Linked DNA regions of Alligator mississippiensis. The protein of the gene in region 1 purifies or fractionates together with the protein of each later gene. This does not show direct contact. Links are inferred from orthologs where the notes say so. Each region holds a gene or a part of one and is shown in the gene's direction. Other genes may lie near its edges.

Region 1 (6,858 bases):
TGAAAGCAAGTGAACCTTACAAACAACTATAATTGGAATTCTCTCCTTTGTGTTCCTTGCTCTCATCAACAAAAAATAAAGGTAGCATGACTGTAGAAGAAAAACAGGGCAAAAATATACTTGGCAGCAACTGGAATTTGCTTGATATGTATTCTCAAAAGAGGCCTTTGAGTCATGAAACAAGCCAAACCTTCCATTAATCTTACTATTATCTCATTTTCTCAATATCCCACAAACCCATGTTCTAGCTTGTGAACAAAATGAATATCACTACTGTATAATGTTCATAGGACATTATATGCAGGAAGACTCACTCCTCAGATTCAGTTAGCCTTAGAAATTAAATATAACGTAAATGGCTTTATGCAGTAAGCCAGAACTGTGGAAGGAAATGTGTTTTTGAAATATGTGTTTTCAAAAACAACAAAAGGTGTCTAGGGAGTAGCCTTACAGTTTCTGGAAAGGAGAAATATTCCAAAATAGACATTTTACTAAACAATAAATTGTGATTAATTGATAAGATTGCTACTGGCTTGGATTAATCAGAGGGAGCAGTGTTTAGGGCTTAAAATAATATAACAGGGTAATCTAAATATGCTTCTTGTAATCAGAATGGGTTGAAAAAGGCAACTATTGGCCCATTTGTTTTGTAGGGGAGGGTTGCATTTGTTTCTATTTTTGGCTAAATTTTCATCTCTTTAAATTATGTTATGAAATGCAGTTGTTATTCCAATGTCATCTGAGTGTCTTGTGCCAATATAGAAGATCAGATAAAAAACAATGGAGACATAGGTCCAAGAAAGTAAAACCATGCCATGGAACAAAGCAACAGATCTAGAGACAGAATTTGAGAACTGATCAACATGTTGGCTCTTCTGAAGAGCTAGCCATCAATCTCATGATGGGAACCAGTAGGTACTGGGCTCCTTTAAAAATCTGGCCTCAAGTATGAGTATCGAACACTTAAAACACTATTCTCTTCTGCTCTCATAGCAATGTGAAGTGGTACAGAGTAGAAAAATTAAACAGCTGTGTCAACAATCTGTACAACACTGATAAAAATTGCTATGGAAAGGAATATATATTTTTAGTGTATTTAAAAGCCTTTTGATATATTTTAAAAGAATCTGGAAATAGGTATACAGGCAGCCCTCCCTCGACTTACAATGTTTCAAGTTACAATGTTTCACACTTACAACATTTATAAATTGACACTGTTTCAACTTTCTGATGCCAGTTTTGACTTTACAACGCTTGACCTGATGTGACGCCATGACAGTGAACAAGTCGCTGTGTCACCCATCTCCCTGGAGAACATCTGTCCAAACTTCCTTGGACGCTTTCTTTAAGAAAGCAGACAAGGCTCCAGAAAAACCTGCAGGCAAGACTCCTGAAAAGACTCCAGCCAAGAACCCTTCAAAAAGTCCAACAAAGTCACCTCAGAGAAGTCCTTCCAAATCAATATGTTGCTATTTACAATATAAATACATTAATGTAGCTGTGCTACTCATCTATAATTGATCGAATACAAAATTCTGGGTTATTTTTGGTGAAAATAAGGTACCAGGCCTTGGTTCAGGAACCAATCCCCTATTTATAACATTGTTTCTTATGAGAAAATTGGTTCTGAGTTACGTTTCGACTTAAGACGCCGTTTTCAGGAACCAATTATGTTGTAAGTCTGAGAACTACCTGTATATTGAACTTGTTATGATTTTCATAAGAACGAGATTTTGTTAATAGTTGTTATCCAAAAAGAGTGGTCCATGCTTTGAGTACCTCACAATCTAAAGCCCTTTCCAAGCTAACATGGACTAATGGTTAAGACCACACTCCTGAACACCATACAGTGGTAATCACCTAAACACAACCCTCTTTTGTTATATGGACTGCAAGTGATTAATTCCAGCTGCTTTTTACAAACTCTAGAGTTGATATTAGGGGCTAGTGCAGCCAAGAAAGGGTAGATGTGGGATCACCAGCTTTTACTTTGTCTCTCCCACCCCAGAGAAAAGAAAAAAAAGCCGGTAGAGGGCCTGATATACCACTGTGTTACTCTAGGTTTATGCTGGTAAAAATCCATTGATTTCACTGGCGTTAATCTAGAATAATATGGCAGTGGTAGTTTCCTTTAAAATGTAATAATAGAATCTTCTAATGAAATCAGAAAATAAGTAATGCAATCAGCACATTAGCCCTTGTGTTAGTTATTTTGATATTGAATTCCCCACGCAGCATTTTGGGATGGGATAACATATTTGTTGTTTGATCAATAGTGACATTTAAACTGTCATCTTCAATTTCAGAGCTAACACCCCATTAGTGTGAGTGAGAACAGCCAACTTTCCCGAACTAATCTTTTAGGCTATTTGCCGACCCAGCAGAGTGATATTATCTGTAACACGTGGTTCACATTTCAAGGTTTCTTTATAATCATATGACCATTAAAGTTAAAAATATTAGAAGACAGGCAGATACTAGGACATAAGGAAGAAAATATGACTTAAAGAAAGCAATCCCTTATTGCCAGCAGATTTAAGAAGGGGGAAGAGTATGGTCACACACATCTGAGTATGCTACCTTTATATCCATAGGTAGATATATCTATCTAAGATTTAAGGAGGGAGGGGTTGAGTGTATGTATGTAGACACACATAGGAATGCACTTCCTTACATCTCTAGCTAGGGAGTTATTTCTATCTATAGATTTAACAGAGGTATGTTTATATAGACACACATACATGTACATTTCCTTACATCTATAGATAGATATTTCTATCTATAGATGTGTGTGTGCGTGTGCCTGTGTGTGCAGACATGCACATTCGAGTATATTTCCCTACATCTATAGATACATATTTCTATCAACAGATCTATAAAGGCTGTGTGTATCTGTCTGGACACGCATCTGAGTATACTTCCTTACATCTATAGATACAGCGAGAGATATTTCTAGCTACAGATCTAAGGGCTGTGTGTGTGTCTGTCTGGATGCACATCTGGGTACACTTCCTTACGTCTACAGATAGATAGATATTTCCTTCTATGTATCTAAGGGGGGGGTATTTAAGGGCGTATGTATCTAAGGGTATGTGTATGTGTTTCTATCTATAGATCAAAGGAGGGGGCGGGGGGGGGGAGGGGGGCATGTAGACACATCCCAGTACACTTACTTATATCTCAGGCTAGAGAGATACTTCTATCTATATATTTAAGGGGGGGTGCAGACATGCACAGCCAGGTATACTTCCTTACATCTACAGATAGATATTTCTATCTACAGACCTCTCAGGGTGTGTGCTTCTACCTATAGATCTAAGGGGGTGTGTGTGTGTGTTTACTTCTAGCTATAGAGCTAAGGCGGGGGGGGGGGGTTAAACACCTCCCAGTACACTTCCTTCCATCTCAGGCTAGAGAGATACTTCCTATCTATAGATTTAAGGGGGGGGGGGGGTGCAGAGACGCACATCCCAGTGCACTTCCTTACATCTACAAATAGATTTACAGATAGAAGAGTGTGTGTGTGTGTGTGTGTGCAAACACACACATCCCGATACACTTCCTTCCATCTCAGGCTATAGAGCCACGTCTATCTGTAGCCGTCGGGAGAAGGCGCGGGGAGCCGCGCACATCTGAGGGCGCTCCCTAACCTCTGCAGACAGCTGTGTCTCTCCGTAGGGCTCAAGGGGGTACGAGTGGGGGAGGGGGAGCCTAGAGCCGGCCTTGCTGTGGCGGGACCTTCCTCCCGCCTCCCTGCGGACCAGGGCCAGCGCGGGGCGGGCGGGGCATCCTCGGCGCCTGCCTCAGCTCGGGCGGCGGCGGCTCCCCCTGGCGGCCCGGCCCCGGCAGGAGGAGGAGGAGGAGGTACCAGGCGCTGCGCGGGGCTCCCGGGCCGAGCGCGGGGGAGGAGGAGGCGGCGCCGCCAGGCCATGGCCCCGCTCCGGCGGCCTTAGCGGCAGCTGCCGAGTGCCCCCCTCCCGGCTCTGAGCGGCGCCTTCCCGCCTCAGCCCCGCCGGGGCTGGCGGAGGCGGCGAGCCCCGGCCCCGCCACTCGCTCCGCCGGGGCCTCGCAGGCAACGCGAGCCGCAGGCCCCGGGCGCGGCCTAGGCCGGCGGAGCGCAGCGGGCGCCCGCCAGCGCCTCGGATGCGGCCGCCTCCGCCAGCCCCGGCCCGGCCCCGCTGAGCCCGCGCCGCCCCGGCCCGGCCCGGCCCCGGCATGTCTGCGGCCGCCTCGGCGGACATGATCGAGACCCCCCCGGTGCTCAACTTCGAGGAGATCGACTACAAGGAGATGACCGTGGAGGAGGTGCGGGCCGGGCCGGGTGCGGGGCCCGCGGGGAAGGGGCGGCCTCCAGCTTTCGCCCCTCTGGGCGAGAGGGAGCGGGTTGGGGAGAGCCTGAGGGCCGGAGCAGGCAGGTGGCAAGGTGTGCGGCCTAAATGCCCTGGTGGGGGGCTGGGGGAGAAGTGGAGTAAAGGAGGAGGACACCCCAAGTGAGACAGGCCTGTGCCAGGCCCCTGGACAGCCCTCCCGTTCCCGGGGATAGGGTGGACTTCATTAGATTCCCACAAGTTCCCCAAAAAGAGCAATTCTCAACCAGGGAGACCAATGGGCAATGCACTGAGCCCTGGCTTTCAGCCTCTTTTCACTTGTGGACCCCTAAAAAATTTCGAATGGAGGTGCAGAGCCCCGCAGTTTTAAGTGGGGGTATTCAGACACTTTTGATAGATCGTAGTGCTCATTCACCAACCTGTTAGACATAAGTCTGTAGACCGCCAGTTGTCCATGGACCACAGGTTGAAAACCGCTGTCCTATCTGTGTGTGAGAGATATGTGAGTATATGCTATATGGAGTATACAGGTTTCCTTCGCTTTATGGAGGTTCTGTATGTGTGAATTCGCTCTTACACGATGACCCTTTTTATACCAAAAATTCATTATATGCAAGGTAAATTCACTCTTATGCAATTGGTGTGGTGGAAGTCTGCAGTCAGCTGCTTTGCAGTGCATTGTGGGAGTGACGCACACCAAAATATAGTCTTTTATGTGGATCAGTGCTCTTCGCTCGTTGTCTGCGACAGGTGTCTCTGTAGTTGCCATCCCCGTTATGGTAACATTCACCACCACCCTGTGCTTGTGTGTACTGTCTGCTGTTGGTGAGTACCACAGTTGTCTTGTAAAAGTGGTAGAAATGGGTCTGAGGGTCAGTACAGTCTAGGTCTTGGAACGTATCCCTATCTGTTACATTGTATGCGTAATCAAGTTACGTGCCGTTTTCCAGGAATGCATGTACAGCATAAAGCGAAGGAAACCTGTGGTAGTGTGTACAGCATGCATACACCATACATTATGTGCATTTGGGCTGTAAATACTGATTAAAGAAAATATCCGTTTAACCTGTTGTAATTACAACAGTTACATGATTACTTGGTATGGCAACCCCCAGGCTGCTTGTGGACAGCAGTGGGGTGCGGGGGTTAGGGGGGGACTAGTACCTAGTAGCTAAGCTCCACGGACCTCAGTACACTGGCTTGCAACCTCCTTGCTGCCTGCCGCAAACAGCTCGGGCTCTTAGATAGGCAGCAGGGGCCTGTCCAGAGCCTGGGCTGCTTGTGGCAGACAGTGGGGAGGCTGCAAGCAGCTGCAATTGGGGTCCGCAGAGCGTAGCTGTAGATACTCTGTAGATACTGTATCTGTAGATACTCTGTAGAGCTGTGCGTCTCTCACTGGGGTTGTAGAGAGACAGCAGCAAGGCGCCAGACTTCCATGCGTAGACCCTGAGATGGTGCAGAGTCACTTGGAAGAACTGGATGCCTTTAAGTCGGCAAGCCCGGATGAGCTCCATCCGAGGGTGCTGAAGGCACTGGCCGACATCATTGCAGAGCCACTGGCGGGAATATTCGAACGCTCGTGGCGCACGGGCCAGGTCCCGGAGGACTGGAAAAGGGCCAACGTGGTCCCCATTTTTAAAAAGGGGAGGAAGGAGGACCTGGGCAACTATAGACCAGTCAGTCTCACCTCCATCCTTGGCAAAGTCTTTGAAAAAATTATCAAGGCTCACATTTGTGAGAGCCCGGCAGGAAAAATTATGCTGAGGGGAAACCAGCACGGGTTCATGGCAAGCAGATCGTGCCTGACCAATCTAGTCTCTTTCTATGACCAGGTTACGAGACGCCTGGACACAGGAGGAGGGGTGGATGTCGTATACTTAGACTTCAGGAAGGCCTTCGATACGGTATCCTACCCCATACTGGTGAGCAAGTTAAGAGGCTGTGACGTGGATGACTACACTGTCCGGTGGGTGGCGAATTGGCTAGAGGGTTGCACCCAGAGAGTCGTGGTGGATGGGTCGGTCTCGACCTGGAAGGGTGTGGGCAGTGGGGTCCTGCAGGGCTCTGTCCTTGGACCGATACTCTTTAATGTCTTCATCAGTGACTTGGACGAGGGAGTGAAATGTACTCTGTCCAAGTTTGCAGATGACACAAAGCTATGGGGAGATGTGGACACGCCAGAGGGCAGGGAACAGCTGCAAGCAGACCTGGACAGGTTGAACACGTGGGCAGAAAACAACAGAATGCAGTTCAACAAGGAGAAATGCAAAGTGCTGCACCTAGGGAGGAAAAATGTCCAGCACACCTACAGCCTAGGGAATGACCTGCTGGGTGGCACGGAAGTGGAAAGGGATCTTGGAGTCCTAGTGGACTCCAAGATGAACATGAGTCGGCAGTGTGACGAAGCCATCAAAAAAGCCAATGGCACTTTATCGTGCATCAGCAGATGCATGACGAATAGGTCCAAGGAGGTGATACTTCCCCTCTATCAGGCACTGGTCAGACCGCAGTTGGAGTACTGCGTGCAATT
Region 2 (7,409 bases), on another chromosome or scaffold:
CCTCTCCTGCCCCACCCAACCTTGCATCCTATCTCTGTAAATGAAAACAAAAATACTTTCCTCCTAGGTTCCCTCGCATTTCTACCCACTCCCCCTCCCTGCCTCACACCCACGACATCCCCTTCCCTCTTTCCTAACAACCCACCAACCCATATTTCCCTCTCTCACAGGCTGTTCCCAAAATCCCACCCCTCCTACCCTTCCCCCAAAAGAAACACATTATTTAATTTAAACAGTTATAATGAGAAATACAATTAAACCCCCTGTTCCCACTGAAGGGAGTACCAAAGCATCACAGCATTTGAGGTAGTTCCCATTCTAAATGTAATGAATACAAAAATTAAGATGAATACCTTGGTGTATTATATACATATTTTTTATGAGAATGTTTTACATATCAAAGCACAAGCAATAAGACATAATACAATATTACTTGTATATAAGTAGAAATCTATACATGCACATTCAGGAATATATTAAAAATGAAAGATGAAAAATGATTGTCTCCATAGCCATGACATTCTTCTCTTCACACCCCTACTGGGAGCTACCTTAAAGGAGTATGTCTATATTAATTCTTCTCTACCCTGGGTTATTCATACATATAGAGGGCTAGGCATGTCCGTGATTCACTCTGCCCTGCACTCTATTCCATTAATTTATCGCTGCGAGTCCATGATATCTGTTAAAGTACTATATATGTTTTTAACTTTAATAAAAAGGTGAATTAGGAGAACTATAGTATATTTGCTAAATATGCAAATACAGGCCCTGATACCTGTACCAGTAAAGAGAAGCATATTAATAAAGTGAATAAGGAAAATAAATCTTTGCGGTAGTAGGGCAACTGCAGATAAATTCGATTCTTAATCTTTTAAAATTGCAGTATACAGAACATTTCTATAGAAAATAAATCCATATTAAAAAATGAAGTCTCATGGCACTTGCCTTAGGACTGTCCCTGTGATGTGCTGGTATTTGCAAGTGGATATTTCTACAGCAAAGCTGAAAGCAGCTGGAAGGGAAAAGAAGGGAGAGTTCACACTCATGACTGCTGGGGCCCAGTTTCCAAACCACATCCGGTCTAACTCAAATGAGTTCCTTGGCAGTCACCACTTACCCAATTTCTACTGTTCTGTCTAGTGGTAAGGGTTGGGGAAAGAAGAGGGAATCTGTCAAGCAAAAGTGGCAAATTGCAAAGGATTCCATATGGACAAAGGCTTTGCCATCTGCCTTTCTGAAGGCGATGAAGACTGAGCTGTGGCACCCTATTTTGGTTCATAGATGTAGGGTCAGAAGGGACCTGAGCAGATCATCAAATCTGACCCCCTGCCCTGGGCAGGAACGAATAGTGGGCTTACATGACCCCTGGTAAATTTAAGCTCGTATGACCCCAGCTAGGTAATAATCTAGCCTCCTTTTAAAGACCCCTAAGGTAGGAGCCAGCACCACTTCCTTAGGAAGCTAGTTCCAGATCCTAGCCGCCCTGACTGTGAAGTAGTGCCTCCTGATGTCTAGCCTGAACCTGCTCCCAATCAACTTGTGGCCTTTATTCCTTGTTACTCCAGGAGGTGGTCGGGGGAACAGGGCCTCACGCATTTCCCTCTGGTCCCCCCTGGTAAGTTTATAGACAGCTACTAGATCGCCTCTCAGCCTTCATTTGTGAAGGCTGAACAGGTTCAGGTCCCATAGCCTCTCCTCATAGGGTCTGCCCTGCTGCCCCCTGATCATGCAAGTGGCCCTCCTCTGGATCCTCTCAATGCTGTCCATATCCCTCCTGAAGTGTGGCTCCCAGAACTGGACGCAGTACTCCAACTGCGGCCTGACCAATGTCGCATAGAGGGGGAGGATCACCTCTTTGGACCTGCTCATGCTGCATCTGTGGATACATGACAAGGTGAGGTTAGCCTTACTGACCGCATCCTCACATTGGTGGCCCACGTTCATTTTAGAATCGACAATGACTCCAAGATCTCTTTCTGTCACTGTGCTTTCGAGAAGGGAGTTCCCCAGCCTATAGGTATGCTGCTGGTTATTTCTGCCCAAGTGCAGTCCCCTGCACTTGTCAGTATTGAATCCCATCCTATTCACATTTGCCCACCCCTGTAACCTGTCCAGGTCCAGTTGTATCCTGTCCATCCCTTCTAGCTTGCCCACTTCACCCCAAATCTTGGTGTCATCAGCAAATTTGAACAAGGTGCTTTTCACCCCCTTGTCCAAGTCGCTAATAAAGAGATTGAACAGTGTGGGCCCGAGGAACAAGCCCTGGGGGACTCCACTGCCCACATCCCTCCAGGTCAATTGTGACTCAGCCACCACTACTCTGTGGGTGCAGCCGCTCAGCCAATTTGTGACTGTGTAGGCATCAATGCCACACTCGCCTAGCTTTTTAATGAGAATGGGGTGGGAGACAGTGTCAAAGGCCTTCCTGAAGTCCAGAAAGACTACATCCACCGCGACACCTGCGTCCAATGATTTTGTGACCTGATCATAGAAGGCAATCAGGTTGGTCTGATGGGACCTGCCCCTAATGAACCCATGCTGGTTGCCCATGAGCATCATCCTCCCTGCTGGTCCCTCTCAGATGTGCTCCTGGATAATTTTCTCAAAGAGCTTCCCCAGGATCAAAGTAAAACTAACGGGCCTGTAGTTGCCTGGGTCCTCCCACCTTTTTCTGAAAATTGGGACCACACTGGCCTTCTTCCAGTCTTCTGGCATCTGGCCAGAGCACCATGAGTGCTTGTAAAGCTGTGCCAGGGGCCCTGCGATGACCCCTGCCAATTCCCTCAGCACCCAAGGGTGGAGAGCATCTGGACCTGCTGATTTGAACACATCCAGCCCCTCTAGAAGTTCCCTAACTCAGGTCCTCCCTGACCCCAGGCCTGATGGAGTCTCTCCAGAGTCCATCCTGAATCCTGGTATGGAGGCAAAGAATTTGTTTAAAAGGTCTGCTTTTTCATCTGGTGCAACTACCAGATTGCCAAGCATATCCTGGTGTTTCCTTCTCCAGTATTTACACATGATCAAAATCTAGAATCATAGAAAAGCAGGGCTGGAAAGGACCTCTCAAGGTCATCTAATCTGCCCTTCCCTTCCCCTCCCCCAGGATCATCCCTAACCAAGCAGCCTGTACAAACCCAAATCTAATGTGCTACAGAAGGAGGCAGAACTGCACCCCCCCCCCCCCAATCTGTATCAATCTAACTATGGGCTAAAATTCCTTCCTGACCCCCAGGTTGGTGACTGGTCTGACCTTAACCAGAAGTGCAAGACCCTCTAGCCAGGCCTACTTGAAGCACAAAAAGAGCCTGGGCATGTGCCCACACAAGAACAGTTAGCCCCACCTGTTGTTAGGGGGAGCACCAGGTGTGTGCCAACTTTGTTCTGGGGGCAACTTAAAAGAATAACAGATGGGAGTGAGGGGCAAAGGTTGATAAGTACTCCAAGAGGGACACTGAGCAGAGCACATTGGCTAGCACCCACTGGAACGAGCCCAAGAAGCCAGTGGATACTGCCCAGCAAAACTCTGCCCCAAGATGGGACCAGATGAGAGGCCCTGCAGCATCTGGGGGCATGAACGCCTCGTGCCTCCTGAGGCTGGAGGGGCAGTGACCACCCACAGGCAGCAGCGCCGGTGGCAGGGCCTTTGCAGTGGCGAGCACAGACCACCTGCAGGCAGCCACGCTGATGTTGCAAGCAAGGGGGGGCTGAGCAGGGACCACCCGCAGGTGGCCGCAGCGGTGTTGGTGGCGGTGGGCAGTGCCAAGTGCTGACCCATGGTCGGTGACCGCCCCCAGATGCCACCGGCAGTGTCACTGGCAAGGGAGGGTTGTGATGAGCAGCAACCGCCCGCAGGCGCACCCAGCACTGTTGGTGGCCGCCAGACTGGGGGGGTGCATGTGCACCCCCTATGTGTCACCAGTGGGTGGGGGTCCTCTGGGCCAGGGCCTCCTTCCTAGTCAGGTAGCTGGCAGCTGGGCCAGGGCCGGAAGGAGGTTGACCAGGAGGTCCCAGGACTTGGTAGGGGCACGGCTGGGGAGGCCATCAACAAAAAGGTGCAGGGAGTCGCCTCAGCAGGTGGCTGTGGTGAAGGCGGTGAAGGGGGCACAGCCTGGCGCACCCCAGGCAGGCGTGCGGCGGGGCAGCTGTGGGGGTACCCACGAACCACCCCAGACACGCTGCTGGCGACGGCTCCGTGGAGGAGCTGCAGGCCCAGGCCCCCCGGGATGGGGCTGCGGGCTCCCCTGAGGGTGCCTGGGCACGGCCGAGCGCCTGGAGCCGGCGGTGGGACAGCCCTGTGGCTCCAGCCCCGCTCCGGGGGCCCTGGGACAGGAGCAGCCCGGACGGGGCGCGGCGGGGCCGCGGCGAGCGGAAGCCGGAAGCCGGTGCTGCCTCCCCCCCCCAGCCCCGCCTGCGCGCGGGTGCAGCCGGGCCGGGCGCGAGGATGAGCAGCGGGGATGCGCCCCCCGCCATCAGCTGTGCGCTGCCCGCCGTGTCCTCCAGCAAACTGCCCGACCTGCGCTTCCTCAGCCGCGGCGCCTACGGCACCGTGTCCGCGGCCCGCCACGCCGACTGGCGCATCCCGGTGGCCGTCAAGTGCCTGCAGGGGCCGCTGCTCGACAGGTACCGCCATCCGGGGCCGGGGGTGTGCTGCGTGCCCGGCTCGCGGGGGGCGGCAGCGCTGAGCGGTCGCGGCCTCTTCCCCGTCCCACCGCAGCAGGGCCCAGCCCGGGGCTCCCGCCCGGGCCTCGCCTTCCCCTGCTCGGCCTGCTGCTCTGCTCTGCTCCGCCGCACCCCGCATGAGGCAGCCCTGGGACACACGTAGCTTGGCCGGCCCTGCCTGCGAGGAAGGGTGACAGCCCTGGCGGTGGCCCCGTGGCCTCTTTCCATCTGAAGCTGCTCAGAGTGGTCCTTTCAGATCACTTCGCCGGGCCTGCCCCCCCGCCCCCTCCCCCCAGGTCCAGTGGTTCACGGGTGTAGGTTGTAGCCACGCTGGGGCAGGCAAGGTTGTTTGGGTCAATCAGATATCTTTTATTAGACTAACATTGTTGGAAAAGTTCATCTTGGCAAGCTTGGTTCTCCTGGAGGAGTAGGGCTGGCCGGGACCTGCAGGGGCCACCTAGTCCAACCCCCCCTGCCCTGGCTTATTATACTCTTATTCTTGCCTCCTTATATTATTTTTCTTAATTGAATTGCCAGACATTGGTTAGTTGAGTTTTAGCTGTTTTAGTTTTGGCTGCCTGGGGTACAGTTAGTGGCTCAGTATTGATATGCCCGCTTCTGTCTCTAGGTAGGTCGCAGCCTCCGGCATCTCAAGTGCTGCCCGGTCAAGTGCCTTTTAAGTCACCAGCTCAACTTCCCTTTGAGCAGAACCAGACGCTCTCTGACTGTGGCTATGAGTGGTTACAAATCCTTCGCCCTACCCCCCTTGCCCACACAGATGCTTTTGCAGGGGTAGCAGCAACCTTTGGCCTACTGAGTTTCCATTTAGGCCAATTGATGCACATAGGCTTTGGGCAAGGCTTACAAAGAAACTCTGAGCTCTCTCCTGTTGTTTTTGGGGATCACTAACCATGCATAAATAGATTGCAGGGCACAACAGAAGGGAAAACGAGTGGGGTTTGGGTTGATGGTTACTAACAAGTGCTCCAGCTGAGCAGAGCTCACTAGCCCATGCCCACTGCTCTCAAACGAGTCAGAGGAGCCGGTAGACACTGCTCAGTGAAACTGCCTGGAGACATGACTGGCTGAGGGACAGGAAGACATCCCTGGAGTCATCAGGGGTCTTGCTAACCAGAAACTCCTTCCTGGTCTGATAAATGGCTAGCAGTTTAGCTAGGGCCAGGAGGAGGTTGACCAGACGTTCTCAGGACTTGGTGAGGCCATGGGTGCAGGATGCGGAGTTTTCCTTTTGGCTTGTTTGATGTGCCAAAAAAGCTCATGGACCATAGCCCATTACGAAATGTATACGCCTCTCATTAAGAAGAGAGGCCACTGAGGACACATCAACTAAACGTCGGGGACAACAAAAAAGAAGTCAGGAACAGAAATGATGTCATAAGTTAAAAACTAGGGCTACAAAAGTGGACACCAAACAGCACACTGGCTTGGCACCCACTGCCCCCTGAAGGAGTCAAGGGAGCCTGTAGACACTAACCAGTGAAACTCCATCCAGAATTGTGAGCGGAGGAGTGCCAGGAAAGCAGCCCCACACTCGCCTGGGTTCCTCCCAGCCAGAGCCTCTTTCCTGGCCTTACAGATGGCCAGCTTGGCCAGAGCCAGGACCAGGTTGACCAGGAGGTCCTGGGACTTGGTGGGGCCATGGGTGGGGAATGCAGAGTTTTCCTTTAGGAGCCTGTACATAGTAATAGTATGTGGTGACCCAGAAGCAGCTTCTCTAAAACAAAGTGTGATTGGCTTTGCCAAAAAGCACACAGTACTTTAAAATGGTACTGAAAATGAGAGTCCTACATGCATTCTGTTTTACCTGCTTTCAGCTTTTGTATCGTTCCCATAGATTAGCAGGCAGCAACCTTTTCTGGCTGCCAGCCAGAATGACCCACCTCAGTGCGTCTTCCTGTAGGAGCACAAGGACAGCTCCCATTGCTGAGGTGCCTGCCTGCTGGATGCCACCCAAAGCTCCACATCCACAGGCAGGATCCAATAGCTCTGTGAGCCTGATCTGGCCTGTGAGCCATAGGTTGTTGATCCGTGCCCTAGGTAGAAAAGAAATAACTTGATGTTGTGTCCTCTGTTACAGCATGCTTGCTAACACTTTCCATGTTATCTGAAGAAATCAGTGTCTTTTAAGAAAATCATTGTCTTCAGATCTTCCTCTTCTCACCCTTGGCATAACAGCTTTGTGCCCTGATTGTGGCTAAGTCCCTCCTGATGGCTATAAACTCAGGCACTTTGTATGTAGTGATATTCTTTATTCAGGAGATGGTTATTCAGGCACCTTCTCTGCCTGGCTTCTTTAACAACCTCTTCAGATTTAGCGTAATGCATTTAAGCAGGATATGTCATAGAGGTGCATTGAGAACAGGATGATATTTCTTCAGTTCTCCACACTGTCTGAAAGCACATGGAAATTATTTAAAAAGTTAGGAAATGACTCGAGATAAGACAAAAGTTATCAAAGCAAGGAACTCCCAATCATGTGATATAATATGCTAAATATTAGAAACTAAGGACAAGTTATTGAGTGTTTCATCATCCAAACTCTTGCCACTTCCCTTTCACATATGTAAACATGCTTGGCTCTTACCTTTGAAAACTTACCACAGTAATGCCTGATCAGAGTTCAGTCAGAACTCATCCTTTTTTTTGCCTCACTATGGTAAATTTGCTTCTTAATGTTTCTAAATGCCATGTCATCCAAAGCAAAGGTGACTCACCCCTTCAACTTA
Region 3 (7,227 bases), on another chromosome or scaffold:
ACGAAACACCTGGCAAAATTTCTCACAGCCCTAGTTTCCAGGTTTTATGAAAGCCAATTTTAGGTTATTTTGCATTTTAGTGACAGGATTTTTAAAGTTAGTGAAGCATCAGCACTTGGTTAATTTGTCCGTAAGACTGATTAAGATGTAGTCTTTGAAATGCTGTTCATTTGCTTACCAGCACACTGGGAACAAAACAAAACCAGGGACAGATCACGTCTACTAGGTCTGTGCGAAGTGGCTAGTAATCGCTTCGGATTCAGCCGATTTTGGGGGACAGTGGTTCGATTCGGTGATTCGAATCACTGTCCCAATTCAAAGTCCTGAGCTGGGGTGGGTGGGGGCAGCCATGTGGGGGCTGGGGGAATGGGCGGGGGTTGGGGGGCTGGGGAGTGGGCGGAAGTCGGGGGGGCTATCAGAGGTCCCCCCATGGTCCCCTCCCCGCTCCCTTCAGCCCGCGTTCCCCTGTCCCTAGTACTTACCAGCTCGGAGTCAGCTCCAGCTCCCTGCTGCAGCCCCCGGGGACTGCCTGAATCATCAAAGCTCTCCGAATCTTTCCCGAAGATTCAGAGAGTTTTGAATCGATTCAGACCTTTAAATTGGTCCCCTGATTTGATTCAGATTCAGAGATTCAGCCACTGAATTGGGCCAAATCTCCTCTGAATTGAATCACCACCCAAAGCTTCGCACAGCCCTAACGTCTAATTCCCTGCTTGAGTCCAGGGTGAGCTTCAGCTCTGCCTCTTGAACCTTACATTGACCTATATTATCCAAGAACTCAGAGAAGGAAGGAGACTGCCCAGTGGTTTTCAACTTACCAGATCTCTAACCCTCTTCCTCTGGGGGCAAGGGAGAGGGAGTAGCAGTTTCACAAAGGAGTGGAAGGTGTGTGGGGAGTCTCAACTCTTACCTATATGGTTTCTAAATGGAAGTTAGAGTTGTAGGGCCTTTGGCCAGCTAAGAGCCTAGCTCCTCTCCTTAGTTGTGCTGCAAATTGTTCCTGTGCTGCAAATGCATGTCAGCTTCCTCTCCAGGGAAAAAAAAACAGGTGTGAAACAGTGATGAGGTGAGTGCTGGTGGCCTCAGTTTTTGCCATATTGTGGCATTGTTTTTTCTCAAAGGTATCTGGGTATTCCTTCCTGGCTTTTCCCCTTTCTGATGGCTGCACTTCCTTCAAAGCTGCAAAACACCATCTGTGCAGTTGTCATGTGGAAAGGCCTCCGCCTGCTCAGAGAAAGAAGCATCCGCAGGCTGCATCAACTTGATAAGCTTACTATGCCTGGCAGCAGTGCCCTCACCATGCCGTGCTCCTTCGGGTAAGCTGTATCTTTAAGCAGCAGCAACAGCGGAGCTGTGTCCACATGGCACCACTGCGAGTTAGCACAGGGCAGGCTAATGGTCACTGTCGCTCAGAAGTGCTCATTTGTCTGCCTACCGCACTGCCAGGACAGAGGCACACTGCTTCCAGATTAGGAGCAATCTGCCCAGAGCAGCACCCTGGCTCAGTAAGTTTGTTCTTTAGACGTAGCCTCAGCGGCTCAGCCCCTCCTCATTCCTGCCTGTAAGTGCACACCCACCCACTAAGCACATGGCTTTTATCATGGGCTAACGAGGCAAGGTTTGTGAGATGTCTGCAATAATATAATTAGCACCTCAGTGAGCAGCCCTCATTAAAAACAAGAGCGCACAGGGATAACGTGGGCTGTGTGTACATGCTCTGTGCTTCTCGGAAAAGTGGAACTCCTGCATCCTTCTGGCTTTTCACTCTTGCTATATGTATTAAACTAATTACCGTGTTTTTAAACTGGAGAGCTGGATTCTGCTTTAGTCTGAACCTTCATGAATTCCCTTCCACTGCCTCAACTTATTCATCTGCTCCATAGCTACCAAGGAAAAAGACACAGCTGCGCCCATTCCAAGGTGGGGAGTCAGGGTCAGGGAGAGCCTGGGAGAGAGGCAAGTGGCTGGGCTGGCCAGCAGCACTGCGCTAAGGAAATGTAGCCATCTCAGTACAAGATACACAGTCGCTTCCTTTTTAGAAAACACCTGTTTGTTTGGGATATAAGCTCTCAGATCAATGGTAAAACTCGATTTCTCTTGCATTTGTTCTTTTCATGGTCCCATCTCACTGTTTTCCCTCCATCTTCGTTGACCCTGATGTATCTCTAGGTATCTTGTCTACTGTCTTTATACTGTTATTTCCCATCTGTTGTGCTTTCCTCTGCAGTGTAACAACTGTTCCTTCCTTTCCTTTCCTCCCACTCCATCACCATCCTCACACCTGTGTTGTGGTCTCTCTTTCAATCCCCACGTCCCACTTCCCTCCACACCCTTCCCCATCCCCACCAACTCTTTGACTATCTGTCTTCTCCCAGCTATGTTCCTCATTCCCAGTCTTTTTGAATTCTCCCCTCTTGTAGCATCTCTTATTTCCCCCCACCACATACACATACACATGCGTGTGCTCACGCACTCTCTCTCTCTCTCTTCCTATGCCTGTTCCCCCATCCCCACCCTGGCACATACACACCCTCCCCTTCCAAAGGCTCCTTTTTCCTCTTTCCCCACCTTACTCCAGCTGCAGAGTTCAGTGAAGTGTCTGTGTGTCACTTGGGTCCATGGGCCTTGCTGAGGTGTTGATGGAAGAACATCAGCATCTGTGGAGGCCACACTAGTGGCAGCATAATGTGGGCTCACCAGCTGCAGAGGGGCTCTGTTCGGGCATGCCTGTGGGAGGATGGCAGTAGGGATAGGACTCTAGTGCTGAGTATTGGCCTAGCACAGCTGGTGGCCAGTGTGACAGTCCCTTGCCTGACTCACCGGCCTACGGTGGCACGGATGCATGGAGCCCATGTGGCTGAGTTGGCACCGTGCCAGCCAGAAGTGCACTCTTGATTAGCCTGGAGCCCCAAGGCGATGGGCCAAAAGGGTGCCGGAAGGGGGTAAGAGGGAATGGCAGCCGAGGGACAGGAAACGGGTCTGGCTATTCTCCCCACTGCTGAAGAATGGAACGCTCTCCTTGGTGCTCGGGAAAGGAAGCAGGCACAGGCCGGGTGCAGCGCCACGTAGTAGCTGAGCCTCACCTGAATAGGAGCTAGCTGCGCCTCACCTGAAGGAGGCTCGTGGGGCTGCAGTGAGTACGGTGCCCACCGGGAGCACCAAAGAAATACTGCGGCAGGTCACCAGCCCAAGGGGCACAAGGGGCCCAATAAGAAGACATAAGGCCTGGAGTAACTTGTACCCCAAAAATGGGGAAGAAGCTGGGGGCGGCAAGGCACCAGTGCCCTGCCTGGCTGCCAAGCTGAGCTGTTTTGAGTTTATTTTATCTATTTAGTTGTCATTCTTTTATGTTCCTACATTAACCCGAGGCAGGACAGACCCAAACTGCAGCCTAACACTGTGGGGGCAGCCCGTGTGACAAATGCCTCCGATGTCTGAACAAACAGCAAAAACACCTGAATGGAAAGGGAAGGGGTGTAGGGGAGAAGGTGTCCTACAGAAGACGCATCTACAGTCACATCCAGCTCACAGAGGACCACTGGATCACATCCAGGCAAGTTCAGGGTCATTCTGGCACATCAAGTCATGGTGGGCAAGCAGGCCAGGTGTGACATAGCCAGGGGCACAGGGCAAGCCCATGATGCTGGGGCAGCAGTGCTGGGTGTGAGCCTCTCACAAACAGCAGCAAGGGAAGGGAAGGAGAGGGAGGAAAAGGCCCCTGCACCCCAAGTTGTCTGTGTCTCCGGTAAAAAGCTTCTTAGTTGTGTGCTGGATGGTGGAGGTCCACTGTGACCCCCTGCATGTAGGTTGGCCCAGGTCTGGCCCTGAGCCCTCAGCCCCGCATTCAGCCTCTGTGGGTTCTGCAGGGCAAGGCTCCACAGCCTAGTGATACCAACAGAGACTGTTCTTTGGAAAAACATTATTGGAAAAAAACCAATAACCTAATGAAATAAAAAAACCTGGATGAATATTGCCACACTTAACTTCCCTTTCTTAGAAACAGCAGTAAGAAGAGTCAATAACTTGGCTAGCACCCGGAGAGGCCTCTGAAATGCTTGGGAAAGATGGAGATGCCAACTTCCCCTGCCTAAAACTGCTGCTCTGAGAACTTTCTTTGCAGAGCAGGGAGCACTGTGGATGGCTCCTCCCTCTCCCTGCCCCCTCCTTCCTTCCCCTGCCCACTCCCTGGGCAGCACAGTGGTCAGGGAAGGCTGTCGCTTGATGCTAGGAAGGGGGCAGGACCTGCGTGCTGCTATTCAGCAGTTCTGCATTTGCATCGAAGGGGAGCAGGCTGTAGGCTGTGAGGACTGGGTGACGCAGAGGATCTCAGCTATGAGGCCGGGCAGGCAAGGTAAATCTTCTGCCTGGTCTTGGACTTGGAGCTGTGCAGCTGCTGAGGCTACCTGGGTGCTTTCTGGCTTGAGGATAGAAGTCCCTTTCTTTGCTTGCTGTGCTGTCCCTGGGCTCTGCTCTCACCTGCGTGCAGAGGCATTTGCAAGCAGCCAGTATCACTAGGGAGCAGAATGGTTGGTTGTTTTTTTTTTTTCAAACCAAGAGCCGATTTATAGTCTGGTTTCCTGTCAGATCTTTGCATTTTCCTCCTTCGCCCCTCCCAGCCTCTGACACACTTTTTCTTACTTTCTGTGTCGCCCTTTGTTCATTCCGACACTGGTGCGTTTGCCTCCTGAGTCTCTCCATTCCCCCCTCTCCTCCCTCCACCCTTGGCTCTTCAAAGAGTCCTGGCCCTTTCCCTTGCACGGCTCACCTCGCTGGAGCTCCTGGGGAGGGGAAAGGACGAGTGCATGGAGGCGACCTAGCAAGCTTCACCCTGCAGCAGCTGCAGCCCAGCCGCGAGCTCGGTCACTCATGAGCACCCAAGGTAAGGAGAGCGGCCCAAAGGCCAGCACCACCCCACTGGCAGCAGGGACAGCACCTGCCTGATCCTGGCAGCTTCCAGTTTCACTCTTTTTTCTTTGTTAATGTCTTTGCTCGCAGACGTCTGTGCAGGCTCCACAGGTCTCGTTCCACTCTGCAGACACAGATACTTGAAGCCCGGGTTGCAGAGAAGGAGCAAACAGGCCCACAGTCGTAGGGGCAAGAGCTTAACAAAATGTCACGAGGGGTGAGGAGGAAGGGGAGGACAGTGACTGGCTCGGGCTCCCCATGCGTTGTCTGCTGGGGGCTCACGCTTTTCCTAGGTAGCAGTAGCATCTTTCTGAACATGTTCTCCCTGCGTACTGCTTCTTCCCGCTTCCTTGGCTCTGCCTCCTTTGGCCGCGGTGTGTCTCTGAGGAGCTTCTCACCACCTTTTTGTCCATTTTCCATTAAGCTGCATCGCTGATTTAGTTAGTCTATAAAGTGCACCTCAATCTTGACCTCACACTGTCCTGGCTAGCTACCTCTCCCCCACATGCATAATTGTTCACCCTTCCCCCTCTGTGATTTCCTCCTTTTCTCTCTTGTGTTCCCCTTTCCCATCTCTTCAGTGGCTTCTCACATGCACTCCCATTTCCTGCCCCCCATCTCTCCCCCACGCTGCTGCCCGCTCTGCAGAGCACCCTTGCACCACTGCTGGTGTCTCCCCCCAGAATACCACCCTGCCGTGCTCCTGTTGCTTCCCTGCATCCCCATCCTCACTTGCAGCATCTGCTCAGGAAGCTCCTGCCCCGTGATAACCACTGGCACATGCCTGCAGGCTCCTTCCAGCTCGCACTCATGGGGCCACCCCCACAGCCCATCGTGCACAACAAACAGCCTCCTGCCACCCCCACTTTCTCTCACACCGACACACATATGCGGCCTTCTCATACCTCCCTTATCTCTCACCTCCCTTAACACGCCAGAGCCACATCTCTGCTCACATTTGCACGCCGGTGCAGCCTCTGATATGGCTCTCTCCCCACAAGTGTTCTGCTTTCCCCCCAGTTTCCCTCTGTGTCCTTCATCCTTCCCAGGTCTTTCCTCCCACTTGTCTGCAAGGTCTGATCTAGTCTCTCTGTCCATTTTCCCCGTCTCGCCCATCCCCAGGCTTCTCATTGTTTGCTCATTTCTCCATTGGCTTCCCTAGATTTTTTGCAGCAGTTTCTCTCCTGTAGCTCCCACTATAACGTACTCCTGAGGCTGCCCTGCTTTTGGGGATAGGAGCCCGCGGGGAGGTTGCTCAGCTGTAAGCTGTCTCAGGCTGTCTCAGCATCCCCACTGATACTTGCAGAGGAGTTGGAGGAAATGCTGCAGTGTTGGTGCTTCCTCTTTCCTTTGCAGGTTCTGCTGGTTGCAGCAGGGCTCAGAGCTGAGTGTTTGGAGTGGGTGGTGGGCAGATGAAGGGAATCGTTTAGTGCAAAATGTCCCGGGAAAATGGTAAGAAGAGAGGAAGTCACTTCCTTCTGCCACTGACCAAGAAATGTTTCAATAATATAGAAACTAGAAAGTGACTTCACTGTATCTTGGCCTCTCTATACTCTATAGAAGAGCTTCTGCTCTCATCACCTCCAAGAGATTTTGGTCCTGTTAAATCCCTTGGATTATCACATCCCAACCGTGAAGGCTTTCCTTACTAAAGCAGTGGCATGGGCACCACTCTTACAAAGACCTTGTGGCAGTTCAGCTTTGGAGAGCCCACCTGTTTTCTTCTGCACTGTTTTGCTTAGTCTCAAAGATCTAGATACAGGAGTAAAAGCTACATCCAGTGACACCAGCTGGTGTGGTCTCCTGAGTCACACTTGCAGTTTTAGGCTGGATTCTGGCTAAGAAGAAACCTCTTCAATTTGACATCTTGAAGGTTCGTACTCTATAAGCCAGACTATTTCAGGTTAAGACAGTGGCGATGCATATGGTGCGCATGGGGGTGCATGTGCACTCCCTGAGAGCGCTGGTGCACCCCCTGACAGGCCACGCTCCCCACTTAAAAGGGGGTAGAAGAAAGAGCTTCTGTAGCTGCAGGACAAGATAGGCACAAGAGGACTTACAAATAGGCCAGGTGATACCAGGACACTGGCTTCTGTGAGTGTGAGGGTTTCCTCTGATCCTGTGTTCCTGTGGTTGAGAAAGGACAAACCAGCCACTCTTTAACCTGCTGCCCCCCGTCTATTCTTGTCTTGGTTCAGACAGGTCCTCAGTGCCTAAGATATCAATCTCCTCTGGTCATGGGCAGTACTTTCACTGAAATTATTACGGTTGCATGGTCATAAGGGACCTGATTTTTGGCCTCTTACATTGTGCTTAACAAGT
Region 4 (7,005 bases), on another chromosome or scaffold:
GTCATGGAGTTCACTGGACATAGGCGTGTACGTGGGGTCAGATCACAGACTGCCATGCGGTTCCCTGGATATTGGGGTGCACATAGGGTCACACACAGGCAGATGGGGCCGTGGGGTTCCCTGAGTATCTGGATGCAGGTGGGAGTCACAAGGGGTCAGATCATGGACAGGCTGTGATGTGGGGTTTCTTGGATATTGAGGGTCACATGGGGTCAGATCACAGACAGGTGCAGCTGTGGGGTTTTCTGAATACCAGGGTGCAGGTGAGGTCACACGGGGTCAGGGCATGGACAAGCCATGATGTGGGGTTCTCTGGATGTCAGGGCACACATGGGGTCACATAGAGTTAGATTATGGGCAGGCCTCTCTTTGTTAGGGTGCAGGTGGTCACAATGGGTCAGATCATAGGCTGTAATGTGGGGCTCCCTGGATATTGGGGTGCAGGTGGGGTTGTGGGGTCAGATCATGGCCAAGCTGTTCCAGGGGAGGATATTGGAATGCAGGTGGGGTCACATGGGATCAGATCATGGATAGGCTGCAATCTAGAGTTCCCTGCATGTTAGGGATCATACAGTCAGATCCCAGGCCTCACTGTGGAGTCCTCTGGCTATTGGGGGCCATCATGGCAGGGCTATGAGGGTAACTCCATTTCCAGCTACCCCATCATGGAGCTGTGGCTGGGCACAGGGGGCTACTGTCTTACACTGTGTACTGGGAGACTGACAGCCCAGGGAAGGGAGGAGATAGTCCATCTCTAGGGCGGCCACACCCCAACTGCTCCATCCTGTGAGGCAAAGCTTTGCACTTTAGGGGGCATCTATCAAAGGGGACATGTCCCCCCCCACTCCTCTCAGGGCAGAGCTAGTTAGAAAACTAAGGAATGCTGAGGACTTAACTCCTTCCTGCCTAGCACCTTTCCCACCCAGGGTGATGGAGTGGAGACACTTGGCACCCATTACCTTCATGGTGGGGTGGAGGGGAGTTACCTGACATCCATTACCTTCATGACAGGGGGGATTACTTAGCAGCCATTACCTTTGTGGTGGGGCAGAGGAGAATTGCCCAGCACCCCTTACCTTCATGGCAGATTGGGGAGGGGGAGTTACCTGGCACCCATTACCTTCATGGCAGGGCAGAGGGGAGTTATCCGGCATCTGTTACCTTCATGACTAGGGGGTTACTTGGCACCTGTTACCTTCATAGCAGGGTGGAGGGGAGTTACTCAGCACCCATTACCTTCATGCCGGGTGTGGGGACGGGGCATTATTTGGCATCTGTTACCTACATGGCAGGGCAGCCCTGCCTACCGCTCCATCGCAGTCAACAATAGCAGCCTGGGGGAAGGGGGGGGAGTACCATTCTTCCACACACTGGCCCCAGGTGGCCACTTCTGGGGGGTACTGGGTGGGGGGAATGGGGAAGGCCCCCAGTCCCACTGATGCAATCAAACCCCTCCCCACAACCACCACATTCCCAGCTTCCAAGCCTCGGTATTCATTGTTCGACCAAATATCACCAGGACTGTTATCATCATGCACACAGAGCTCCCTCCCTCCATCGCAACCACGTGCTCCTGTGGGCTCCTCCCCACATTTCGGAGCTGGCCCCTGTGATGGGAGCTGTATACAGCAGGCTTAGCTCCCTCTCTTCTGGTCTACAAGCTCCCTCTCCTCTGGTCTACATATATATTCTGCACTGGTCCCATGTGCAGCTGTCCGGCCCCTCCCACTGCCACGCACACATAGAGGGGGACTCCTAGGCCATGGCTGGGGAGCCATGGCTGTCATCATGGAGAGCTGGGCTTTTGGGGGGCCTGGATGGGGTGGAACCATGCCTGGGTGTAGAGGAGGGGCATCTGCCCTGCTGTGACCCCTAGGGACTGAATTCCAACTTGGGAAGAGACCCCCCACTCTCAGCTAAGGCCTCAGGGGATCCGGATTCCACCCCCCAGGGGGAATGGGGAGATTGCAAGCAGCTGGGGATCCCCCATCCATGCTCATCCACTCCAGTCCCATGTTGGAGTCTGTTGCTGGAAGGGGTCATTCCCTGGGAGGTTGAAGCAGTTTATTAAAGGATGGAATTTGTATCATTTCAGTAAAAAAAAAAGCGACAAAACCCCCCCAAAAAAGATACCAGCGGGGGGGGGGGGGGGAGCAAGGCCTGAGACACCCCCCTTCCCCCGAATGTACCTGTCTGTGTCTGCTCCCCCCCACCCCACCTATTTATTCTGGGAGAGACAGAGAGACACTGGAGACATTTGCCTTAGCCATGTGTGACTGGAAACAGACCCCCTCCCAGCTCAGCACATGCGTGTACATGGCTGTGCATCCCCCTCCAACAAGTGGGGGGGAACGTGTCACCCACATTTCCCCTTATCTTGGGGCCTAGGCGTCACCTTTTTCTTTCTTCCCTCCCCATTTTGGTTCCTTGCCACCTTGAGTTTCTATCCCTCCCCTACCCACCAGAAATTTTGGACCCTGCCCAATTTTTGGACCTCCTTCATTTCTGACCCCCCCCCCCCCATGTAAAATTCGGTCCAGACTCCAAGCGCAAGTAACTCTCTGCATAGGTTATTTCAGTGCTATAATTGCATCTCTTGTTGGTAAGTACTGTATTCTGTGCTAGACTCGAGCTATAAATCTATGTACAATTAACCCACGGATGACTTCCTTGCCTTCATTGCAAAAGACCCCGCCCCCCCATGGGGCTGAGGGGCATCCACTCCCTTCACCATGCTGGAGAAGCTACAGCTAGGGTGGATTTGCTCTCAGCTCACTCTCTGGTGGGATCAAGCCATGGTCCTTGGGCCCCCAGGAGTGGGAATATGTCTAAGCTACTGGGATGCAAGGGAGACTGCAGTTTGCCTCTCCTGCCACACCCTGGATCTCCCCCCTCTGTGGGACACAGAGAGAAGCCAGGGGGCAGCCACGGGCACCCAGCAGTGAGGTCCTGATTGTGAATCCCTTCCCTACTCTATCAGGCCACACTGCTTCGCCAGGGTAGGATAGAACCCAGGTATCCAGGTCCCCCGCCCCTCCCCACTGTAACCCGCAGACCCCCACTTCTCTCTAGAGGTGAAATAGAGCCCAGGTGTCCTGGCTCCCAGATCCCCAGACCCTGCTTCTCTTCAGGGCTAGGATAGAACCCTGATGTCCAGGTTCACAGTTCCTAACCTGCAAGACCCTGCTCCTGTCCTAGATCTTCCATAGAAGCCAGGCCTGAGCTCCTGAGCTCCCAGCTCCCCATTCTAGCCCACCAGGCCCCGCTTCCCCCCAGAACTGTGATAGAACTGGGGTGTCTGGGTACTAACCCTAAGCAGGAAACCACAGCCCGAAGAAGTGGAGAATGGGATCCAGGGGCCACCATGGGGTCGTGTCTGTATTGATGACATAATGCTGCACGTGGGAATGATGTTAGTGCATGAGATCACCTGGGGAGCTGGACTGGGGGCATCCCTCATGATGCCATCATCCTGATGACATCACAGACCCTCACCCATCTATAACCCAAGCTCTACTTAGACTACCCCAGCTGCTGCCCTAGTCATAGCTCCGTCTACAAGCCCCTCCCACCCCAAGCCACGCCCACGCCTACAGGCGACTCCCTTTGCTTTTTGTCGACTGCTCCCTCCCACTCCCAGAGTGCTTTGCGGGAGGAAGACTCTCGCTCATCTCCTTAGAGCAGCCAATGAGGTCCTTTTATGTAATAACGCCCCGCCCCTCAAGCTGCCACTTTGCATATGGCTCTCGGCAGAGGTTTCCTTTCCGCCACACTCAAGATGGCGACGGGGGGGGTCCCTAGGCCAATGCGCTTATAATAGAGGCGGAACTTCCGCCCTTCCTAAACTGGCGTCGCGCCCGGGTTTCTCTCGTTCCGCCACGCCCCGAATGGCACTGCCTTTGCCCTCCACGCTATGTGGGGGCGTGGTGGGACTTAAGATTCACCACACTCAAGATGGCGTCACGAAGCGGGGGTGGGGGGGGGGCCTCTGGAGGCTAGAGCGCATGCACCTGCTGGGCCGTTATGGTCACTCTTAAAGGGGAAGTGATTGGTTTTCTGGGGCGGACCGGGCTGGATCGGGTGGCATGGCCGGATCCGGGCCTGGCACCGGACGGTTCTTGCATGAGCTCCCGGCCTGGCTCATGTGTAGCTTCTGTCGCCTGATGGACGCATTGGGTCGTGCGGACTGGGAACGTTTCGGTAACTGTTGCAAAGTAGGAGGAACTGAGGCATACTGGGAGAGACTGATGGGGACTGGAGTATCCTGGGAGGGACCTGGGAACGACTGGTGAAAACTGGGAGTGACTTGGAGGACTGGGAGTGACTGTAGGAGACTGGTGCATACTGGGAGAGAGACTGACAGTGCCTGTTGGTGGGCTCTGGGACATCCTGGGAGGGGGGCTGGAAGTGGCAGGGGGGGAATGGGGTATACTGAGAAGAGGACTGGGAGCAAGTGGTGAGAACTGGGACTGGAACACACTGGGAAGGCAGTTGGGAGTACCTGCTGGGGACTGGGGCAAACTGGGAGCAGCTGGTGGGGACCAGGAAGGACTGGGATGTACTTGGGAGGAGACTGGGAGTGACTGGTGGCACTGGGGCAAACTAGGAAGGGGAGTAGGTGAGGTGGGGGCATCCTGGGAGGTTACTAGTAGCAACTGTTGGAAACAGAGGACTGCAAAATATTGGGAAGGCAACTGGGAGCAACTGGTGGGGACTGGGGCATACTGGAGGAGAGACTGGGAGTGACTAGCGGGGACTAGGGCACCCTGGATAGGGAATAGGAGTAACTGACGGGGACTGGAACAAACTGGGAGAGAGTTGGAAACTGGGATAGGGGCATGGAACACTGGGGAAACTGGGCCAGTCAGGGATGTCCAGGGAGTTCAGTCACTGGAGCATACTGATATGTACCGGGGAGTCACCATGACATACTAGAGCCTGCTGGGAGGCCTTGTGGTCTCCTGATGCATGCTGGGAGCTAGCTGAGGTCCACTGGGATGGAAGGAGCCTGGAGGGCAGCATTCACTGGCCACTACTGGGACATGCTGGTTTATACTGGGTGGGATATAGGGGAGTCAGTGGCTATACTGGTTTATACTGAGAATGGACTGGTGGGTGGGGGCACTGCTGGGGGAGGCTTGTAGCAGGGGTGGAACCTGAAGCCCCGCACCCTGCCCTGCCCCCAGCTTCCAGAGTGGTGCGGGACCAAGTGGAGCTTCGGCTGGCGGGCACCAGCGAGGGCCGGACACAGCGGGTGCTCTGGAGCTGGGGCCACCGCAATGCCCGTGTGGGCGACCTGCTTGCCTTGCTGGGAGAGCTGGAGTTGGACTGGGCCCATGACCTCATCGCCAGCTGTGAGAGCCCCACTCCACCCAGCCCACTGTGCCCCTCATTACTGACCTTTATCTCCATCCTTATACCCCAGAGGGACCCTTGCTCAGCCTGCAGCTCCCCTGCATGTTGGTGGCCCTCAATCCCAATCCACAGCCTCACTTATGCTCTACAGTGCCGCTCACTTCTGACTTGCAGCCCCCGCCTATATCCCCCAGGGTCCCTGGTGGGCAGAACCCTGGTTGTGGGGGGGGGAGGGGGGGGAAGGAAGAGCTGTGGGGGGTCTCTGGGGGAGAGGGGGGAATTTGGGGGAGTATTAGAGGGTGGGGAGCTGTGGGGGGCTCTGGATTGACAGGAGGAATTGTGGGTAGAGCAAGGGAGTCTCTGTGGGGGCTATGGGAACCTCATCTCTGGTCCATTATTTCTTCCCAGGGCAGCCCCCTCCCGAGCCATGGACACGCCTGCCCCACAGCACCTCCCTGGCCCCTCCCCTGCCATCTGTGCCTCTGCCATCCGTGCCCCCTGCCCCCTGCAGTACTGCTCGGACCCTTCCCTGGGACCCGCCAAAGGCTCTGCCCGTGCCAGTCCCACCCCTTCCAGGTAACTGCCTCTCAGAGTTTGGGGGAGGGTGGGGGTCACCCCCTGCCCCCTCAGTGACTTCCTGCCCTGCCCCCCAGAGCCATCCTGCCTCTCGTTGCCCCTCCCTGGCCCCCCACCCCGCAGCCTCCTCAGCACCAGCAGCCATGACACCGTGACCTCTCCTGACCCTGTGACTCTTCTCAGCCAGGTAAGGGGGAGGGGCTAACTAGGGGTGTGGGGGGATGGCCCTTGGGTTCTTCAGGAAAGGTGGGGATGAGGGTGCTGTACCCAGAATGCCTTGCTCTCTGGCTCAGGAGGGCTGTTCCCGAATCCTTTGTGCTCTCAGACCCTGGGTTCCTGACCCAGAATTCTGGGGAGGGGGTGGGGGTGGGGCATAGCAGTTATAACCATAATCCTTTGCTGTCCTGCTCTGGGTCTATTACCCAGAGTCCTTTGGGGTGGGTCCTACCCATAATCCTTTGGGTAAATGGAGTCTGGGACAGGGGAGAAAGTTCTTTGCTGCCCTATTCCCCAGAATGCTGTGCTGCAGTGAAGGGAGTGGGCTATGTGTTTGTGCCGCCAGGTCCTGCCACCCCCAGGGTTCCCACGTCTCCTGGCATGGCCCCTGGCAGAGTTGGTGGAGGCCACGGGCGGTTTCTCAGAGCAGCACAAGGTGGGCGAAGGTGGCTTTGGTTGTGTCTACCGTGCCCGGCTGCGGCACACGGATTGTGCTGTCAAGCGCCTCAAGGAGGTGAGGGGGGGCTTCCCGGTATGCTTTGCGCTGTCCCATCTTCTACCTTCTCCCCAATCCATAGGCCCCTTCCAGGCATCCTTTGCGTTGCCTGCTTCTCTCTCTTGTGTCCTCTCCCCAGCATCCTTTGCACTCTCTAGTCCTTGACCTTCCTCTCTGCCCACTATAGGCCCTTTTTTCAGCATCCTTTGCACCAGCCATTATCTTTCCCTGAATCCTTTGCATCTTCTGCTCTTCCTCCTCCTCCCCCCCCCCCCAGCCCTTTGTAGTGCCAAGTCAGGGTGACCCCTGTTCTCTCACTAACTTCCCCCCTGCCCTCCAGGATGCAGAGCTGAACTGGAACC

Evidence for each region.
Region 2: the proteins of MAP3K7 (region 1) and RIPK2 purify together in Homo sapiens (affinity purification with western blotting; 4 studies listed by BioGRID). This does not show direct contact. The link is inferred for Alligator mississippiensis from reciprocal best matches to the Homo sapiens genes MAP3K7 and RIPK2.
Region 3: the proteins of MAP3K7 (region 1) and CARD11 purify together in Homo sapiens (affinity purification with western blotting; 3 studies listed by BioGRID). This does not show direct contact. The link is inferred for Alligator mississippiensis from reciprocal best matches to the Homo sapiens genes MAP3K7 and CARD11.
Region 4: the proteins of MAP3K7 (region 1) and IRAK1 purify together in Homo sapiens (affinity purification with western blotting; 5 studies listed by BioGRID). This does not show direct contact. The link is inferred for Alligator mississippiensis from reciprocal best matches to the Homo sapiens genes MAP3K7 and IRAK1.

Annotation. Positions count from the first base shown.
Region 1 is NC_081824.1:77,998,330-78,005,187, reverse strand, and holds the start of MAP3K7 (mitogen-activated protein kinase kinase kinase 7), read left to right. Parts: upstream 1-3,852; 5' UTR 3,853-4,215; coding exon 4,216-4,305; intron 4,306-6,160; coding exon 6,161-6,250; intron 6,251-6,858. UniProt on the Homo sapiens protein: Serine/threonine kinase which acts as an essential component of the MAP kinase signal transduction pathway. Plays an important role in the cascades of cellular responses evoked by changes in the environment.
Region 2 is NC_081826.1:47,120,874-47,128,282, reverse strand, and holds the start of RIPK2 (receptor-interacting serine/threonine-protein kinase 2), read left to right. Parts: upstream 1-4,401; 5' UTR 4,402-4,444; coding exon 4,445-4,623; intron 4,624-7,409.
Region 3 is NC_081836.1:51,790,085-51,797,311, reverse strand, and holds the start of CARD11 (caspase recruitment domain-containing protein 11), read left to right. Parts: upstream 1-4,205; 5' UTR 4,206-4,221; coding exon 4,222-4,351; intron 4,352-4,573; exon of another isoform or gene 4,574-4,866; coding exon of another isoform or gene 4,867-4,879; intron 4,880-7,227. UniProt on the Homo sapiens protein: Adapter protein that plays a key role in adaptive immune response by transducing the activation of NF-kappa-B downstream of T-cell receptor (TCR) and B-cell receptor (BCR) engagement.
Region 4 is NC_081831.1:28,784,303-28,791,307, forward strand, and holds the start of IRAK1 (interleukin-1 receptor-associated kinase 1), read left to right. Parts: upstream 1-3,994; 5' UTR 3,995-4,085; coding exon 4,086-4,200; intron 4,201-5,186; coding exon 5,187-5,354; intron 5,355-5,763; coding exon 5,764-5,931; intron 5,932-6,008; coding exon 6,009-6,118; intron 6,119-6,493; coding exon 6,494-6,661; intron 6,662-6,983; coding exon 6,984-7,005.